Nothobranchius furzeri: one gene and its partner. The protein of the gene in region 1 binds, or shares a complex with, the protein of each later gene. Links are inferred from orthologs where the notes say so. Each region holds a gene or a part of one and is shown on either strand. Other genes may lie near its edges.

Region 1 (4,576 bases):
CTATAGCGCCTCTCATGATAAAAAATCACGAGGCGCTTCACAAAAACAAAAAATTGAAAATATATAAAAGAATTTAGAAAAAACATGTTTAAACTAAGCAAAAATAGACTATTGTGATTACAAATGCAAAGAAAGAGAGAGTAAGAATAGGAAAGAGGGAAATCAGTGGATCCTGGGAAAGGCGGAATAGGTAGGGAGAGCAGAATAAGGAGAGGGTGATGAAGGTCGCACCCTAACCAGCTTGAACAGGTGAGTTTTCAACATTCTCCCTCTCCTGATAATAACACTTTACTCTCTTTGACGCTGGATGTGTTACTACTAGTTTACCCGTTTAATTATAGATCCACTAGGATAAATACAATAAAGTTTATCTCTCACCAAATAGAATATTTACTAAGACATCACAATGTAACCATAGAAACATTACTTGGTGTGTGTGTGTGTTAAAAGAAAGTTTTCCTCTCCACTGTCGCTACATGCTTGCTTAGTATGAGGACTGCTGTAAAGACTGACACTAGTCAGTGACTTGATGCAACCTGCTGGGTTCCTTATATAGAAAACTTTTTTCTCATTGGCTTAATGAACTGACCTGTATTGGAATGTTTACTGTGTGAAGTTCCTTGAGACGACTCTTGTCGTGATTTGGCGCTTTATAAATAAAATTGAAATGAACTGAATTGAATTTTTGAAGGAGACCACTGCGTCCAGAGTCATTTGATGGATTAAATGAATGGGTGATTAACAGGCATCTGCAGCACTTGATGTCCTCCTGAGGAGGCAGTGTCAAGCAGGTGTGCTGACGCAGAGCCATGGAAAACATGTAGGATAGTGTGCCTTGAGGACCAGGGTTGGGAAACACTGACATACACATATAATAAATCAGACTAGCTGACTAGTGACTCTCCGAGACATGCTAATGGCTAGCCTCTCAGATGCTAATGACAGCCTATCCATGCTTAAGGTCCGTCAAGGGGGTAGGAAATCCAGCTAGGCACACTAATGGCTAGCCTCTCCGATGCTAACGCCAGCCTATCCATGCTAATGGTCCGTCGAGGAGGTAGGAAATCCAGCTAGTGACCAGCCTAGGCATGCTAATGGCTAGCCTCTCCAATGCTAACACCAGCCTCGTGATTTTTATCTTGAGAGGCGCTATAGAAATGATATTTTCTTCTTCTTCTGTCCAGGCTAACGCTAGCCTATCCATGCTAATAGACAGCAGAGGGAGTGTGTAAACCAGTCAATGACCAGCCGAGGGCCGCTAGTCCCTAGCATATCTAGTAATAACGCCGTAAAGGTGCCATTTCTCAGTAAGCAGCGCCAGCCTCTCAGTTACCGGCACCAGCTTATAATTAATAAGATCAGTAGTTTGCTTCAGAATTTATATAGCCTCCTGCTGCTGGGCAGCAGTCTTAATTTTGGCCCCCATACCGAGCGATAGCTTTTGCGATCAAAACAAGAACAAAACTCCTCCAGCATTCCTTCAACTAGTTCATGCCCAGTTCAGTTATAAGAAGAAGTAGCACATCTAGCGGGGGCTCATAGAGAGCGGTATGTTAACTAGCTTACCAACGTTAGCTTATGTTCTCTCTGCAGCTGTTCAGTGATGTAAACATGTTGCTGACTTTGTCTAAATTCGCCCCTCTGTATTCATAACACAGCAGACATCCCAGATGTAAAACAGCTTTCATCCTCTCAGCGGTAAGAGTGTATAACTCCTCAGGTTAAGGTTTACTGGCATTATCCTGGTACACAATAACACCAATGCAACATTCATTATGTGTTCAATACTGGTGCAATACCGGATTTACATTGCATGCTTGTGTCTCTTGCAGCATGCTGCATAGTGCTGGTCCAACACTATGGGCCCCATGTCTGTGTTCACCTTGGGCCCCCAAATTGCTAAATCCGCCTCTGGTATTGGAGCAAAGTTTTTTCTTTTTTACTCAAGGTTTTTAGGGGTCGAAGGTTGCAATACTAGACTACTGCCTATGTGTATAAATACATGTACCACTGATATGACTTTTCTTCCAATTATTCTCTTAAGTGTTGGTGCTGCTGTAACAAGTGAACTTCCCCACTGTAGGATCAATAAAGTCTATTCTATCGGAAATTAAGTGCAGACAATATCGGCATAATGGTTAAAAAAAGCCAATATTGACCGTCTCTACTTTATTTACAGTAACATTTGTTTTTCCATTTTTCATTTATTAAACTATGAAAGTGAGTGTGCAATGGTACTTTTTGCTCCTATTCTGGAAATTGAAAATATTTAAGTTTTTTGTGTTATTTACTAGTTTTACTTTAATCCATCTCCAGACTGTTTAATTGACGTATTATCTGGCCCTGCAGCTCTGATTAAACATGGTTTTACATCACTGCCCAAATCTAAACCAAGCACTTTATTATTTAAATTTCCCAGCAGGTGACAGGGATGATACAAAAATAAAACATTTACATTAATTTCACTTCATTAATCCAATAAAGTCTTAATTGTGACCTATTTAACTGCACGGTGAAGCATTTTAGTAACAAGGTAAGCACTTTCAAAACCAAACTAAGCTGGCTAGAAAAATCGAGCACGAGTTAACTGAAGGAACTAAACTCCCAGCTGTCTGCATTTGCTCATCCAGACACAGGTGTAGGACAGGTGTTCGTGTGAATTAGCTCGCGCCAGCTTCACTAACGCACGCGAACACAACTCTGTGGGTTTAAAGTTCCTACTTTCTCCAGCAGCTCTGCAGCTGGACAGTCGTCTTCATCGTGGTCTTCCTCGGCCGGGTCCTCCTCTTTAACTGCGTTCACCGGCAAACCGACCGAGTTGAACTGCGGACGTTTAAATTTAGTGGTTTTGCTTTTACCCATTTCGGCCCGTTTCTACGGGTTCGTGTAAACAGGATGTCTGTTGCTGAGCGCTGGGCTAGGGCGAAAGTTTAGCGAAAACACCGACGACTCGACTCAGGCGGAAGCCATGTGGAAGGTCCTCTCTCCTGCCGTAAAGCGATTGCTGCTGGCGGAAAGCAGTGACGTTGTCGCAAAAACAGATAAGAGACGTTTTGTTCAAGTGTGGCAAACTCCTCAAAAGTAAAATCATTATTTATGTGGAAGTTTTTGATAGTTTTTTCTTTCTATTTGCACATTTTGATGATTGTGTTTTTTCTTTTCTTTTTACGTTTTATTTTACTTTTGATGTCATGTATTTATTTACCTCAAAACCTGGATGGCTGGGAGCTTTCTTCAGCTGAATGAAGATAAGACTGAGATCCTCATCTGTGCCCCAGACAAGCTGGTTCCCAAAGTCAGAGACTCTCTTGGTCAGCTTGCTTCCCACACCAAACCTTCTGTCAGGAATCTTGGCGTGACCTTTGACCCAGCTCTCATCCTGGATTCCCATGTCAGTTCTCTTGTTCGCTCTTCCTTCTTCCATCTCAGGAACATTGCTAAGCTGAGTCCCATTCTGTCCCGCTCTGAACTTGAGACAGTTCTCCACTCCTTCATCTCCTCACGCTTAGACTACTGTAACTCTCTTTTCACGTGTCTGAGCAGAACCTCCCTGAACCGTCTACAGGTGGTTCAGAAGGCCTGTGCTCGGCTTCTGACCAAGTCCTCCAAACACACCCACATCACCCCGCTTCTCCTCCAGCTTCACTGGCTGCCAGTCAACTTCAGGGTTCATTTCTAGATCCTGGTTCTGGTCTATAGGGCCTTACATGGACAAGCACCATCTTACATTGGTGATCTTCTTAGTCCCTACACCCCCAGCAGGTCCCTGAGGTCCAGTGATCAAAGCCTACTGGTTGTGCAGCACCAGGCTAAAGACCAAAGGTGACAGATCATTTGCTGCTGTGGCCCCCAGACTCTGGACCTCTCTCCCCCTGAGCCTGAGATCAGTGGACTCAGTGGTCTCCTTTAAAAAGCAGCTGAAGACTTGCCTCTTCAAGTTGGCTTTTGTATGACCTTCTTCACCACACTCTCTTTATTCTGCTCTCCCCACCTATTCCACCTTCCTCAGGATCCACTGGTTTCCCTCTTTCCTGTTCACTCTCTCTCTTTCTTTACATTTTTTAATCACAATTGACTATTTTTGCTCATTTTAAATATATTTTCTAAATGCTTTTTAATATTTTTACATTTTTTGTTTTTGTGATTTTTATCTTGAGAGACGCTATAGAAATGATATCTTCTTCTTTACAGAACTCATGAAATTACACAATTATGATTTCACAGAAGGAGCACCCAGTGTTAGCTTCTTAACGGGCCTGTGTGATACAAAAACCTATGGCATCAACAACACCTCTACTCCCCCAGAACCACACGTCTCAGTCACCTGTTGGACAGAGACTAAATCACAAATGGGTAAAAATCGAACATCAAAAGTGTAAAAGCCAGGAGATCAATATGGTGTTAAGTCATCATCCTGTGGGATCAGCCATTAATGATGCTTTTGAATACTGTTACGCTCCAGGCTGTCTAGGGGTCCTGGGGTAACAATGAGAACGCATGTTCTTGTGGTAAAAGTAACAAAACAACATTTATTTAAATAAATATAAACTCAAAACACAGATTAACAAGACACATC
Region 2 (3,850 bases), on another chromosome or scaffold:
TGAATGAAAAAAATGACATCACTTAAATTTATTCAGTCTGAAAGTTATATTTATCTGAAATTTTTTTCCCATTTGCTATTTTATCTGATGTTTATCGGTAAACAGATTTAGTTCTTCGTGACCCTAAAGCATTGAATTATATGAATTTTCAGTGCACTTTTAGATTACAGGTGATCCCTCGTTTATCGCGGTAAATGCATTCCAGACCTGGCCGCGATAGGTGAAAATCCGCGAAGTAGGGACACCATATTTACAGTACAGTACTATATTGAATTATCGTATGATCACATTCTCTTTTTGTGGGTAAAACTCAAGAAAAATCTTTTTTTACTTGTTTTATTACAAAAAGTGCATTTTATGATGAAAAAACAGGAATTTCTTGATATTTCGCATAGAAAAATGCCGCAAATCGGTGAAAAATACCGCGAATCGGCGAATTTCCCTTGAATAAGGCTCCGAAGAAAAAATCTGCGAAGTCGTGAATCCGCTATAAACGAACCGCGAAGTAGCGAGGGATCACTGTACTTGTTTTTCTAAATAAATGTAACTTCAAAATCTAAAATGAAACATGGACAAAATAAGGTGAAATACTATTTATTTGTAAATGTATCCATTTCATGAATTAAGGTTGAGACAAATAAACACGCAACATGACAGTGACAATTTTAGGATGAATTTGAGCCTTTTCTTCCAGGTTTATTTGAATATAAACCTAAAAAATTAAATAAACAGATTATAAAGCCATTAAAGTTTCAAATGAGGCTTTTTGAAACTATTGGTTTTCTTAAACACTTTTTCCACCTAAAAAGGTCTAAACTTTATAATTATGACAGCAAATTATTTAATCTAATGTTAATTCTCCCAAAATGCTTTGTTGCTGAACTAATACAACTCATACATTTGTAAAATTAACCATAAACAACAGATTTGTATAAATGACACCAGATTTCTTCTTGAAAGTCAAAATATTGATGTTTTAAATCTCTTATTTCAAAAACACCAACGAAAAATAAACATCAGTTACTTATCGCTGCTGTATGAAAGTGTATTTTTTAAATATTTTTTATTAAAGTTCTCATTTCTTCCCAGGTTTTCCTCTCCTCTTTCCCCCTCCTCCAGCTTTCCCAGCCTTCCCCCCTCCTCCAGCTTTCCCAGCCTTCCCCTTCCCAGTCATGTTCCCTTTCCTTCCCCTCTTCCCACCCCCCTTCCTGCGCTTGGCTGCAGCCTCCTCTTTGTCCTCCTCCCTCATCTGCTGATTCACAGCCTTGGTGATGTCCAGTCTGGGCTTCTTGCTGCCCATGGTTTTCAGCAGATCCAGCTGCTTCTGCTTCTCGCTGGAGAAGTCACCGATCAGAGGGTCAAACTTCCTCCTCTTGCCTGAGTTCTTTGGAGGTTTCTCTTTGGGCAGGTCGTCCTGGAACCTCCCAACAGATGCTGTGGAGACTTTGGCCACACTCACTGCTTTGGCCAGCTCGTTTCTGGACTGCTGAGCTTTGGGGACCAGTCCCACGCCGGGGGTTTTGACTTTCTGCGCCCTGGCGATGTTTTTCAGCCGGTTGAACTCGTTTTTAGCCACTCGCTCCTTCTTGGCTTTGACCCGTTTAGCGAACTGGTCCTCGTTGGGGTCCGCAGTCTCTGGCACCTCAATCAGCCACTCCTTGGTGTCGTCGTTAGCCCTCTTGTAGCCCCAGCGTCTCTTCCACTCCTTCGCGGTCTCATCCCAAACCAGATTGGTTTTCTTCTTCTTTTGGATGCCTTTCAGCTTGGCGAACTGCTCCCATTTGGTTGGAGGTCTAGGCTTCAGTGGGGGCTTCTCTCTCGGCAGCCGGGTGGTCGGTTCCGGTAGCTTAGCTACTATCACCTCCTCGACCCTCTCCGTGGGGAGTTTCCATATCTCGTTGATGAGAAGTTGTGTGTTGTCACGAGCTAGCGACCGCAAGAAGTCCTCCTTCTTCTGTTCTCTGAAGTCCCGCGTCTCGATGCGGTTTTTGTCACAAGCTAGCAGGTTACCGAGGTCGAAGTCCAGGTCCAGCTCCTTCTGGACGGTGATACTTTTCAGTTTTTCAGCCTCTTCTTGCTCGGCTTTGGCTAACAACTCCTCCACACTGCTCGCAGCCATTTTCTGAACGCTCAACTCCCCACGTGCGAATCCGGAAAAACAAGGCAATGTACTTCCGGGTCGTGGGCAGCAACCGGAAGTTCTCATTTTGGCCACTAGATGGCACTGCGGTCGCTGTTTTCACCAAGAGTACAAAACAGAACGAAATGAAAAGTGACGGAATAAATGTGATTCATTGTAAGCCACAACAATAACAATAACAAATATATACAGACATATGAACATGCTAATCAGCTGTGCTATCTTGCAAGTTTATGTACACACAGCAGAACATTAATTAATTAATTCATGGTGCTTAAGGACGCCAAATATAAACAAAAACTTAAAAAATGCAGATCTTTTCAATGAGATGTTCAAATTTAAATTTTTCTACTATGCATACTTTATTGTAAGCACGCTTCTATGATTTAAAACTGAGTTCAAACAAGCCTATTGCATCATTATGTTGTGTAACAAATACACACTTGCATATTAATCATTGCAGCTTGTTTACATGCATTTTTAATGCATTTAATTTGTAAGCACCTTTCAGGACTCTCAAGGTCACTTTAACAGAAACGACATGATACAGGTTAAAACACTGTTAAATTAAAAATGCAAATCAAACAGTTAAACAGATACAAGTTAAAAATGAAAACAGTAAAATGCTAAAATACTAAACTAACAATTCAAGTTAAAATTATCAACAGATAAGTCATAAATAATCAATCAATAGATCATTATCATAAAGATATTCATTGCACATTGACACATTAGTTAAAATCTACATAAAATAACAGTAGGAAGAACATAGTCAAGCAAATGTTTGCGGTTACATTAGGCATTTGAGAAAGCCTGCCTGAATAAATGAGTTTTCAGTAGTGATTTAAACTGGATGCCATGTTTACATGCATTTTAGGATGAATCTGCTTAAATTAGAGAAGACAAATGCACACGTTCCACAGCTTCAAAACATTACGTTAAATTATTATGTTAGATGTCAAGAATTAGAATAAACGGCTTACGTAAGTTTAAAATCTTTAGAAAAGGTCTCCAAGTACCATCAGCTTTTGTACACATCCCTCTAAGTTTACTTTTAGGAGTACTGTAAATAAAATCATTATGCATAATTTATGAATGCAGAAATTTAAAATGATGCAACAGATTTCTTATTCTGTGACTTCTGGCTAAAATTCTCACTTTTACGGTATATTTGCTATTGCAATTGCTGACCCCATAGAAAGTTGTCCACATTTGGCAGAATTTTGCATTTTGTTTCGAATTAAAATAAGAAAACAAAAATTTTTACCACAACTTTTTACTTTATGAATGGAACCTTCTAAAGACAACAACAACAAAATTGTGTTTAATAAACCAGAATAGTTAAATAAGTCTAATAAGATTGGATGAAATTGTAAAAATGTGTATGAAAATGACCAGTTTTAATATATTAATATACAGTGTTTAGAAAGTTCCTGCTCTCAGACTCCTGTAGTGTCTCTGGATCATTTAAAAGTTTGCAGCTGTGATAAACTTCCCTACAGGATGGCTGAACATGTTTTCATGTGAGATTAAATCCCTTGAATTATTAATACTACACCCCTTCTCATTGTTGCACTGTGTACCATTTCCCCTCACAGCTCTGGTACTTTAATAGCTCTATTTTTATCCTCATCTTCTCTAATTTGGCTGCGGGAGGTTGGAGGGGAGGGGGGTTCCACAACAATCGGTCGCTCAAAGACGACGGTGCCA

The links.
Region 2: heatr3 (region 1) and rrs1 share a complex: the UniProt entries of both Homo sapiens proteins name them as parts of the hexameric 5S RNP precursor complex. The link is inferred for Nothobranchius furzeri from reciprocal best matches to the Homo sapiens genes HEATR3 and RRS1.

Annotation. Positions count from the first base shown.
Region 1 is NC_091749.1:70,410,007-70,414,582, reverse strand, and holds the start of heatr3 (HEAT repeat-containing protein 3), read right to left. Parts: upstream 2,995-4,576; 5' UTR 2,863-2,994; coding exon 2,722-2,862; intron 1-2,721. UniProt on the Homo sapiens protein: Plays a role in ribosome biogenesis and in nuclear import of the 60S ribosomal protein L5/large ribosomal subunit protein uL18 (RPL5). Required for proper erythrocyte maturation.
Region 2 is NC_091747.1:51,664,390-51,668,239, reverse strand, and holds rrs1 (ribosome biogenesis regulatory protein homolog), read right to left. Parts: upstream 2,168-3,850; 5' UTR 2,120-2,167; coding exon 1,076-2,119; 3' UTR 579-1,075; downstream 1-578. UniProt on the Homo sapiens protein: Involved in ribosomal large subunit assembly. May regulate the localization of the 5S RNP/5S ribonucleoprotein particle to the nucleolus.